Linked DNA regions of Bombyx mori. The protein of the gene in region 1 binds, or shares a complex with, the protein of each later gene. Links are inferred from orthologs where the notes say so. Each region holds a gene or a part of one and is shown in the gene's direction. Other genes may lie near its edges.

What was found. Proteins that work in one complex are often made in the same cells at the same time.
Region 2: the proteins of protein prenyltransferase alpha subunit repeat-containing protein 1 (region 1) and synaptobrevin homolog YKT6 are in contact, whole or in part, in a crystal structure (PDB 6J7F), measured with the Homo sapiens proteins. The link is inferred for Bombyx mori from reciprocal best matches to the Homo sapiens genes PTAR1 and YKT6. Residues at the interface, in NP_001093136.1 of Homo sapiens: Glu31, Gly33, Leu34, Ile35, Pro36, Val48, Val50, Glu51, Lys53, Leu54, Gly55, Ser58, Lys135, Tyr191, His225, Ser228, Met229, His230, Val231, Ser232, Asp233, Phe298, Asp301, Leu302, Ser305, Tyr306, His309; in NP_006546.1 of Homo sapiens: Met1, Ser29, Phe30, Phe31, Asn83, Glu84, Pro86, Gln131, Asn132, Pro133, Arg134, Gln180, Phe184, Arg189, Ser193.

What each region holds. Positions count from the first base shown.
Region 1 is NC_085127.1:9,750,583-9,756,392, forward strand, and holds protein prenyltransferase alpha subunit repeat-containing protein 1, read left to right. Parts: upstream 1-2,227; 5' UTR 2,228-2,369; coding exon 2,370-2,446; intron 2,447-2,519; coding exon 2,520-2,914; intron 2,915-3,392; coding exon 3,393-4,258; 3' UTR 4,259-4,504; downstream 4,505-5,810.
Region 2 is NC_085124.1:7,754,761-7,760,899, forward strand, and holds the start of synaptobrevin homolog YKT6, read left to right. Parts: upstream 1-2,423; 5' UTR 2,424-2,658; intron 2,659-2,765; 5' UTR 2,766-2,795; coding exon 2,796-3,392; 3' UTR 3,393-6,139. Other genes in the region: proteasome subunit beta type-2, read right to left, coding at 378-532, 644-806, 1,054-1,247, 1,450-1,555. UniProt on the Homo sapiens protein: Vesicular soluble NSF attachment protein receptor (v-SNARE) mediating vesicle docking and fusion to a specific acceptor cellular compartment. Functions in endoplasmic reticulum to Golgi transport; as part of a SNARE complex composed of GOSR1, GOSR2 and STX5.

The sequences.
Region 1 (5,810 bases):
TCTTTATCAATATTCTGTTGTTGTAGTTTGTCAATAGTTGCTCCACTTCCAAGTCTTATTTCTAATCCCTTCCATTTGTAATATGATCGGATGTGCAGCGAACTAACCACATGTTGACTAATTTTAGGATTAAGTTTCCACCATTTGTTAAAACCATTTTCCGTATTAAAACCTGCTTGACAAAGATTATCAAACAGTTTGCAGCAGAAACAATAAATACTTTTCTTCGATGGTAATATACGATCTTAAGAGCTTTTCGCCATTAGGCTAAATTTGAAAAAACCAGTCCCGACTCAGTTTTCTTGTTTCACCTTTGGCTTTGCTTGTATTATTAGAACGTTTTAATCCTTCGCTGAAGTCGGCGTCTAAATTTTGAATTAAAAAGGGACCTTGATGTACCAGAATTACTCTTGTATTGTCGTCAATTTTGTTAGGCCATAATCCAATATCTTTCATAGAAACAGACAGAATAATTTGTGCAGCAGATTCTTCATCAGGACTTGATAAACTTTCTACTTCTTCGCCAGTGTGTGAAGCAGGTCTTTCCTCTTGAACAACATTGGATAATGTTTTTTCGCCTTCGAGCGCTGCTTCTTCACCCGTTTTTAAGGCAACAATACTAAAAGAACTAGAAGTTGGCTTATGAGAGATGTATTTGAGTAGTGCTCCAGTGTTTTTAATCTGTATTTCCTCCCTTTTCTTTCTTTTCTTTCTAAATGACGCACCGCTTTCTTTTACTCGTTTCATCCTAGGGATATATAATAAAAATATAACTTGCCGAAATAAATAGTATATTATTTATAGAAAACGGCAAAGCTATTTTACTTCGCTGAATAACATCTATATCTACAATACGTAATACAATATGCTTAACAATTATAAATTCCCCAAATGCACTTGCACCCTAATAATTTGTTTCACTCTTCACTGTTAAAAGATTGAATCGCTAATGAACAAAATGGTTTTTAAGCAATTTATCAATCCAAATACAATTCTTCAAAACGGACTGAGAATATTTATCTATTTGCGAGTTCTGAAATTGTAACTTCGTCAGTATTTTAGTTTTATCTCGTTTAGATTTTGTTGTTTGAAAAAGATAGTTCTTATGCCGGCGCCCTAATGCCTTGCAGACCTAGCAGAGCACCTTCCGCCGGCCCTGTTTTTCAAAAGAAAAATCGATGAATAAAAAAATATTGATATATTACTTCAAAGTAATCATATAAACTTTTCAAACGAAATGACATTTATAAACTGATATTAAAAAATTTTAGTTAGGAAAAATTGCCGAACAAAATCGAAAAGATACTTTTACGAATTCAAAGAATTTTTATTAATACAATAAAATCAAATTATTACCTTGTTCTTGAATTAGCATTCAAAATTTACACTAATATGCATTTATATACACCGATGAATAATATTCGAAATCATATAGTTAATCATAATTTATATAAATCAAATATTAAACTTATAATAATCATAATAATCATTTATTATTCAAGAAAGAAAATAAATATGAAATGAATAAATTGTTTTAAACAACTAAAAGTAAATGCTAAAATGCCGCCCCAGGGTAAGTGCCGCCCGGTGCGGACCGCACCCACCGCCCCCCCCTAGGTACGCCACTGATGCTTGTTAATATTCAATATCATTAAAAATAACTGAATTTATTAAGACCGCGCTAATCATACTTTAACGACTAATTGACCGTCTTCACTGACATATTTTTGTTGAAGTATTGTTGAAGTTTTCAATATTTTTTTGATCTACATAAGAAATATTAGACAGTATAAATGCACTTGTTAACAAAACGCTATTAAATACGATTTTGCCAGTTGACTGAAAATCGGCGCATGCGCAATGTAGGCGTGAGGTGATTGTTTGCTTATTAGATATAAAATAATTAATAATTGAGAATTTAATTATTTTTATGAGCGAACAATCACCAATAGTCGTCGAACAAACGATAATAAATCAAAATTAATTAATCTGAGCAATAAAAATAAAGATATCTAGTATGAGGGGCCAACTTAAGGATGATCATTTGTTTAATTAATTATAAATAAAACGAACAAACAATTTTTACATTCGAACATTAACGAATAAACGACAAACAAATAATTAAAAATAAAAATAAAACCGAAAATCAAAAATGAGGGGCCAAATTCAGTAAGCCTTCTCATTGACAATGTTTTCGAATTTCTGATAGGTCTGTGCTGTGATCGTCATGCACAGATAATACCCATATGTGATGTTTTGAGTTTAAACTTTCAATGAACTAGTAAAAAACGATTTGTATATTTCAATACCTACCTATGTATTTATTCATATTCAATTAATTCAATTACGTGTTATTGTGTGCATTAATAATGGAGGAGGATAAATTCGCGCTGGTTGAAAAAATAATAAAAGATATTGAAAATGTTTTATCGAAAAACGCTGAGTTGTAAATATATTTGGCACAAATTCAAAGATAATCGGAATTTATTTAAATATATTAAAACGTAAAATATTTTCAGGTACGCTTTCGACATAGTTCCAGTGGATAGTAATTTTCGCAATAAAACTCCGGTTCTTCACTTAGAAAATTGCTTAGGGCTGGAGTCGTGGTGTGTTAAGCATGTGTACATGTATTGCTACTCAGAATTAATGGATAAATATTTCTGCAAAACTAAACGTCGAAACAGCACACTCGGCTCTATACATTCGGAAAAACTAGGTCGATTATTGAGTGTAACACTTTTACTGAACCCAGAACTTAATACATTATGGAACAAAAGGCGTGATATGGTACTCAGAAATTTATTAGAAAAAAGTTCAGAGTTGAAATTGACTAGATTAGTATTGTCAAGGAAACCCAAATGTAATGAGGCGTTTGGGTATAGACGATGGTTACTCGAGGCTATATTACAAGGTATAGTGAATAAATGAATTAGTAGATACTGAATTATTAAATTTCCTAAAACACTAATGTTTCAGAACGTTAAAGCTCGTAGTTATAAATTAGATTACAAAAGATACAGTGCACACTAGGCAGTACATTGTCTGTCCGTGGCATAAACACAAGAAATTATGAATTGCTTAATTAATTGTTATCTCAGCCTGTTTTTGTTCATTCTGAGATCATACTTGACTCCAATAATATTTATTGATTTACTCTAGCTTAATTGGATATTTTTCATCTTCCATTATAGCAATATAATAGCTGAAACATAAATACATTATAAGAAAATAGGTAAAATGGATATAAAATGTCTAGTTCTTGATTGTAATAAATAAATTTAATCAGAAAAGAGATAAAAGAAACAATTATGACACATTGAATTTAATATATTGAATTTAAAATACAAGTATTATTTCTAACTACACTAAAGAATTGCCTTCATTTTCAGATGAAAACCTCCAATCAAACTATATCCAGAATCTTGTTAATGAGGAGTTTCATCTCTGTCAAATTGCCTCGGATAAAAGTCCTAATAATTATCACAGTTGGAACCATCGTATGTGGCTGCTTAATACATTAAAGAAAATTACAAATTTTAGCTTGGACCTCTTGTACATCAAAGAATATAATTTCTCGGAAAGATGGACATCAAAACATGTTTCAGATTTTAGTTGTTTTCACTATAGACAATATTGCATAAAAAATGTTATCTTACATTTGAATGATGTATTCTGGAAAATGTTTCAAAACAGCATTGAAATTGATTTACGTAAATGTTTTGTTAATGTTTTGTTAAAAGCTTTACAGAATGATATGACTTTACTGAACGCAGACGATAATTTAATGGAGTACTCTGAAGAAAAGTTAATAAATTTGCTCCTTTCAAATACTAGAAATTGTAACTGTAAACATAATAATGTTTATCTATGTAGAAAATTTGAAGTACTTTTCCGTGAATTAGTTTTAAATAGTGAATTGATACAGTTCTATAAGTGGCATGAGTCACTATGGTACCATAGACGGTACATCGTTCATGAGTTGATCATTTCCATGTATGAATATTTCGGATTGAAGAAGCAGAATGGGGCTCTAGTCAAAGACAATTGTAAGAAATGTAATTCTAATGATTTAAGGCAAAAGCAAGTGAAGATAGTAAGATATGATTGTAATCATGTTTATTCTAGTGCTATATTTAAAGTGCTCATCTCGCATGAAAGAAAGTTCATTGCAGAAAGAAACAGTGATTCAGATAAATTTGCAGAAAGACATGAAAAATACTTGAAATTTGTTGAAGGATTAAATATTGTTATATGAATAGTTCTGTGTTTCTTGTGTGAATTTATGTTTAAACAATTACAAATGCCGTACTTAAACTGGAGTCAAGTTAGGCAAGCAAGCAAGGCTATAGGCTGAATGCTTGGAATCTTTTTACATTTGTAATTGCAGGTATTTTTTTTGAAAATTGTAATTCTAGTTTTGAAACAGGATTTTGTATGATCTAATCAAATAAGATAATGTTATAAAAGTATACCACAATATTAAAAGACATTTTAATTAAAATGATGCCGATTTTTTTAACATTGGACAAGCTTCCTCTCTCCCACTCACCTTGAGATATTAATATGGATTTAGTCTTGATTAGACTCAAATAACGGCTCCAATGGTTCGGATCAAATGGCTACTTCCTATTAAACGAAACGTATGTCTTTCGCGGCAGAAATAGGCAGGACATACTCGTGTGGACGCACAATCCGCTTTATATTGGTCATGGTCCTAATTTAGAAATACTCCGAGTAGTTTTATGTTGTTTCTTACAAAGCGCATTTGATTTGGGACTTTGGATTATTATAATTTTTTTTTATAGGCCGACGAGGCGGCCCACCCGGTGGTGAGTGGTTACCGTCGCCCATGGACTTCAGGAATGCCAATTGCAGAGCCAAGCCGCTGCCTACCGTTAAGTACTTTTTACAAGCCTCGTTTGAAGAAGGGTATGTCATAGCGCTCGGGAAACACCGTGGAGGGGAGCTCATTCCAAAGCCGGATGGTACGTGGCAAAAAAGATCGCAAAAAACGCACTGTGGATGAACGCAGTGGCTGCAGGTAGTATGGATGAACTCTACTCCGGAGGCGGGCGGTGCGATGGTAAAAACGAGATGAAGGTATTATTTCAAACAATTCCGCAGATGGAGCATACGGTACAAAATAGAGAGGGAAACGAAGTCCCTCCGCAGACCCAGAGGTTCCAAACGATCTGTGAGAAAGGGAGTCTCGACAATCCGAAAGGCTCTCTTCTGTGTGGAGTCAAATGGAAGAAGCTGGTATTTGGGAGCCCCGACCCAGAAATGGGATGCCGGACTTGTGCTTTATAAAGCAAAAGTCTTTGTCCAGGCGTGAAGTACCACTTTGCTCTGTTGAGGAATCCGAAGATTTTGGACGCCAACTTGGCTTTGCCTTCCAAATTAAGAACTAAATTAGGAACTAAATCGCATTAATTTTAAGTCGTCGTGACTTAAAGGATAAGACGTCCGTTACATACGTATGTAGCGATGCAACGGTGTTCGAATCCCGCAGGCGGGTACCAATTTTTCTAATGAATAAATACGTACTTGAGAAATGTTCACGATTGTCTTCCACGGTGAAGGAATGACATCGTGTAATAAAAATCAAACCTGCAAAATTATAATTTGCGTAATTACTGGTGGTAGGACCTCTTGTGAGTTCGCGCGGGTAGGTACCACCGTCCTGTCTATTTCTGCCGTGAAGCAGTAATGCGTTTCGGTTTGAAGGGCGGGGCAGCCGTTGTAACCATACTGAGACCTTAAACCTTATATCTCAAGGTGGGTGGCGCGTTTATGTTGTAGATATC
Region 2 (6,139 bases), on another chromosome or scaffold:
ACCCACATGAGTAGTAAATTTTTTTTATTGCCATGGTGGGCAGTTGAGTTTACGAACCACTTGGTGGTAAGTTGCTGATAGTCTGGCACTCAGGTGCACCATCAAACAGCTGCTACCTAAAGTAGTAATTATCTCTTAGGCTACTACTAAGAGAAAATATTCTACTTCTTAAAATATAACAACACAATTTTGAAATACATATAAGCCTATTATTATAATTAAGCCATAGTAATTACCAGTTAGAAAAAACAACCATCAAAGATATACCAGCTTGCAGTATGAATAATATTATGATGTTAAATGAATTTGATCACTAGTCATCTTACTCATAAAATTTATTCATTTAAAAGTTTATTTTCCATACAAAAAAGTGAAAATTATTGAAGAGATGCAGAATTAATGGTGGGCAGCACTTTAATCCCATCACGGTTTACAACAGTCACTTGGAAATTGGGGAGACTAACAAACAATCTTTTGTGAACTTCTTGAACACACTTCTTAAGGATGTCATATGCCTCTGTTTCTGTAGCATCTGAAATGAATAATGTTTTTATTTTGAGTTGCCACTTGATTAATACATTATTAAATTTATAAAATATTTTTACAGATGTTGAAATATAAACAAATATTATTAACTACTAACCTTTTTTATGGTAACGATCCATAATACTCAAACTTAGATATCCACCATAACCATGAGCTGCAAATGGTACCTTCACGCTTGATGCTAAATAGTCCATAAAATACAGTTCAGGTCCATTTTCTTTATCATAACCACCCATGAGCACATTTACAAAGTAGGGAGTCTGTAATTTTTTAGAATAAATATTGAAACTTCTCAACAGTACAAAAATTTTCAACTAATAGTTAATTCTATAGGTACAATAATTGATTAAGAATCAAGATTTTTTGTGGAGAATGTTCATCGTCATCATCAACGCACAATCGTCCACTGCTCGACACAGATCTCAATTCATACCACTGAGTCTTCAGCTCTCCGAAAAATAATAACTGTCATGAATCAATCATAATAGAAATAAAAACACAACTTACACTGCTCCTAAGATACTCTGCGAGATTACGACGTGTGAAACTGGCTGCAGCTGAGGGCCCCAATTCATACCCATTACGCATTTTATACAACTGAATATTTTTTGCAATATATTCAGCAAATTGATTTGTGTCTCCTGAGTCACCAATGACACCCATTACTAATCTATCAGATATCTTATAGATCTTTTCTTCATCTGTAAAATAGAATAAAAACTTTGATTATATAGTATAGTTTATTTGAAAAATTGGTATTAGAAGTTAGATTCCATTAGTACAAATAAAATGCCAAAAAGCAACCTAACAAGTTTACTTGAACCGTTTTTAGATCTGTTTTTATTTATAAAACTAATTTGATCTGAAAATACAGAGGATTCTGTTACAAATTTGCAAACTCACCGTCTTTCATGATCATAATGCTGTGGCTGTTGCTCTGATCGGCTGCTATCATAACAAAGTCGTTGCACTGTATTCCTAAGAGACATTGTAAGTTTATATTTGACATTTTGCAGTCGTATTACTTAATTAGCTTTCACTGCAAATAGTCTTTTCAAGATAGAGATACTTCAATCAATTGAACTGAATTATTTACTTAATTAACTTAGCTATTCTGCCTGTGCGGCCTTAAATTTCATAAATTGTCAAATCACTTTCAGTGTTGTCAGTGTTGAGAGTGTTGCGTGCATACCTTGGTATTGGTAGTAATTCATGGTTTCGGTTTTTTGGAGAAAAGTTGGAGCTATATTTCGTTTACCTATGTGATAGGAATTAATAAGTAGTTAAAATACAAAAAAGAAAGTGCACTAATGTGGGAAAATGAAACAAAGCTGCTGGACGTCACTTCTCGGGATCCTCCAAAAAGTCTCAGTAGATGACCACCATTTTATTAAGATTATATTTCATCCCATATCATCTCATCTCATTTCATTTGATTTCATACCAGTTGATTAATGTCTCGAATTAATAATCTTCATTTCATTTCATCATTTTTCATATAAATAAGAAAATAAATTAAAATAAAACATGACTTAAAGGTCTCTGGCGTTAATGAACGCACATTTTTATGATGCGTAAGCCGGAACGCACGAGATGTGGGAAAAAGAATATAGTCTGTGACACGGGACCTTTTTACCGCCAAATATTTAAAACGACAAATAATTTATAATGTGTTTAATAACTAATGTAATATAATTACTTAGAATTGTTTATGCCGCTACAACAATAAAATTTATATTGTTTCAACTGTGGTGTTAATTACATAAAACACGACTACGGCGAAATAAAGAAGGGACTCTATATGAGCTCCCTTAGGTCTTAGTTACCAGGTCATAAAATCCCTTAAAAAAATTCTTAATAATCTGTGAAAGAGATATTCTCATGACGTAGGCATTAAGACATTTATGACAAATAACCAAGGCCAAATAGTAAAAAATCACTTTTTACGATTTCACGAAGAAAAATTATCTTACAAATGTATTAAAATAATTTTAAGACTTTTGTCTGATTTCGGGTAATCTAATATTGTAGCACGTCCAAGATTGTACAAACGTAAAATTCATTCAGAAGGCTCATTTACGACGAATTAAACGACGAGCTATTGAATCTTGGGTAATATATTTTTTCTTTTATTTTGAATTCTTCTAATATATTTCTTAAAATTCAGACTTTTCATTATTTTTGTAGTTTTTCTGTATTAAAACTGTTTTAATTTTCAGAGACCGAGCGATAAAAATTATCTAACAAAAATGGTGAAAGTTTATGCACTACTTGTATTGTACAAAGGGATTAATAATGCATCCATTCTGAAAGGTGCTTATGATCTTCGGAGTTTTAGTTATTTTCAAAGAAGTTCAGTGCAAGAATTTATGACTTTTGTTAGTAAAACTATGGTAGAGAGGACACATCCAGCATCAAGGCAATCAGTTAAGGAAGGAGAGTATATGTTGCAAGTGTATGTGCGTGCAGATAATTTAGCTGGAGTATTGATATCCGATCACGAGTATCCTAACAGAGTAGCACACACTTTGATCACTAAAACTCTTGATGAGTTTACAGCTGCAGTTCCATCAAGCACTTGGGCTACGGGTAAAGAATCAACAATTGATTTTCCATCATTGGCTTTACATTTAGAAAAATACCAAAATCCCAAAGAAGCTGATGCATTGACGAAAATTCAAAATGATCTGGATGAAACGAAAATTATTTTACATGATACAATAAAAGCTGTACTTGAGAGAGGTGAGAAGTTAGATGATTTGGTTGCTAAGTCAGACAGCCTGTCGATGCACAGTAAAGCATTTTATAAGACTGCGGCAAAAACTAACAGTTGTTGTAATTTTTGAACAGTATATTATTATGATTAACTGTTAACAAAAATGGCCATAACTATTGTAGTATTGTTGATAGTTGCTGAATGCTATGTACTATTTAAAAAAATTATATGAGGTTTGATATAGCTTTTAGGGATTATAAAATATAATTGTATCTCTGATTAATCTGTAACCTGTCACTAAGAGAGTGGCAACTAGCCACAAATACTAAAACCAATTTTAGCAAAGGCTTGAAGAATTATCCTGACCCATCGAATTAAAAGTTCAAACAAATATTGAATCATCATCTTTTCCTTAAGAAATTTCCTTTTATGTTTGTCTGGAAGTTTGTTTCCTAAAATTTAAAAATTTTAGAGGGATAATTTATTTTATTACCTCTTGAGATTACGTTTGTGTTGTAAATTATGATTGTAACTCTAAATCATACAATTATGGCTAAGAGCCAAGAAAAAAAAAAATTAGTTGAAGACTTTTGGGTTTGTTAGAATTGGAGAGCAACATAATTATTAACATTACAACATTATTATTTATATTATTGAGTAATTTAAGAGCAGTGAGTTTAATGTTTAAACTACAAATGGGTCATCATGTCATACTAATTAAAATTGATTATTCCAAAGTAGTATAGTATATCATGAAAATAACTCTAAGGTACCAAGTGTACATATGTTGTAACTTGTTATTCTGTTGCAGATTACTGTAGTATACTTGAATTCTTAACTAATTAAATTTTTGGTCTTAATTGCAATTGTTAAACAAGTCCAGATGCAGACATTTTGAATTATTTTCATCATCACAATGAATGTCGACTTACAGTATTGGTCTAAGGTCTAATAAATGGGTTAAGGATCGTGTGATTTCATTGCAATAATGTACAAAAAACCATGCACAAAACATTTGCAATAACAGCTTAGAAAAGAAAGATTGTGAAAGTGACTTATTTCATGGTTTTTACTAAAATTTAAATGTGAGCTTTATTTAAGTGATAAATGGTTAAATAGGAATAGAAGTTTAACAATTCAGAGAAAAATGTTATAATTATGAATTATGAAGTCTTCTTATTGCATTCCTCAAAAATGATGTTGTTAAAAAATAAATATATCTATGTATGAAAAAATTATTAATGGTAATGTATAGGCCAGTTATTAAAGAAAAATTTGATCAAATGCTGCAGTTTATCAAATTCGATTATATTATACAAGTTGAAGTAGTTTGCAAAATTGATCTGAACTGTTGGGATGATGTAACAATATTCCGATAATAGCTAGCCATTAGGAGAAAATTGCCATTCAAGAGTTGAATTCGTGACATTAATTTTAACAGGCAAGAATGATCTGTTCTGCTCTTAATTAAGAAATTCGTTATCAGCAGGCTTGTTTATAGGCATATTATTTATTATGTGCAAATATAAAGACATTGCACTGAGAATGTTTAATATTTTGAAAATATTCAATTCTTCAATTGCATCACAACTGCTAAACAAGTTTGATCTAGTGAGTCTGTGACACTATTCATTCAGTCACAACCAAAGTTCATTCATAACCCTTGCAGAGGTGTCGGTCATAATCACACGTTTAGGATTACACATGGTGGATGCATTACATACAGTGCCTGAAACAAATTCTGTATAATGCAATGGGATAAAATCGTGATGATCATGTTTGCTTCCATTGCCATCTTTATAGCAATATATAGATATTGTCAAAGGCATGGGAGCCTGTTTGTAGCTAGCATTTGGTATTAAAATAATAGTAAAGAACAGGAACAAATGTAACTATAGTATCATATTTACCATCTATAAACAATTGAAAATCATTTAGTATTGGCGTCAGTTGCCTGAATGGCAACATGAAGACGTGATATTTTTGTGCTCATACTCATGAATCTTTTATATTGCTTTTTCGTTAACATGTTGAACGCCACATGAAAAATCGACTATTTTCATTCAGGCCATGATGCTCACCGGTGAGCCTTTTACTGGTGATAGCACGTCTTGTGAGTCTGCACTGGTATGTACCATCGTCCTGCCTATATCTTCCACCCATCTAAGCAATAAAAAAAAGCCTTATCGTAGTGAAACGTTCGGCCATGAGGCTCGCCCGGGAGTCACGCGAGGGTTCCAACGTAAACGCTTCCTACACACAAATTGCAGCTATCAAACAAAACGCGTATGAAAGTGAGCCGCGTGGCCCTTTAACCAAACCGAACGCCTTGGTTTTCAAATCCCATAGAAAGTTGGTTCTTATCAAGATTATTTATTGCCTTTTAAAATATCTTAAAAACTAGCCTGTAAAATTCGCTAATTTTCACCATCCGTGCAAATTATCGCATTTTATATATTTTAGAATTCAAATCTAGTTGTTAAAAATTACTGATTCCCTGATTTTGGCTTGGCCTGAATGGTATAGTAAGTACGCTAGGCCCTTAAGTGGGCCGCATGGCATTCAAGGTGTTAATGAAGAAAAAAAAGAGAAAAACAGTTACATTTTATTTTTATCATTATAAATGTAAACAAGCCTTAGGATATGTTAAAAGTTAATGAAACCTATGAAATATGTATGTAATTTGAAAATTATGAAATGTAAAGAAACGCTGATGTGAATAGGGAAATTCCCTTTTTTGGTGTTAAGGCTTAACAGTTAAGCAGAAAAAGATCTATATTTAATGTACTAATCTAAATCGAACATATTGTACCTTCAATAGTATATTATATTTATCTGCAATGTAGGTTAAAACATACTTTATTTTGGGTGATAATT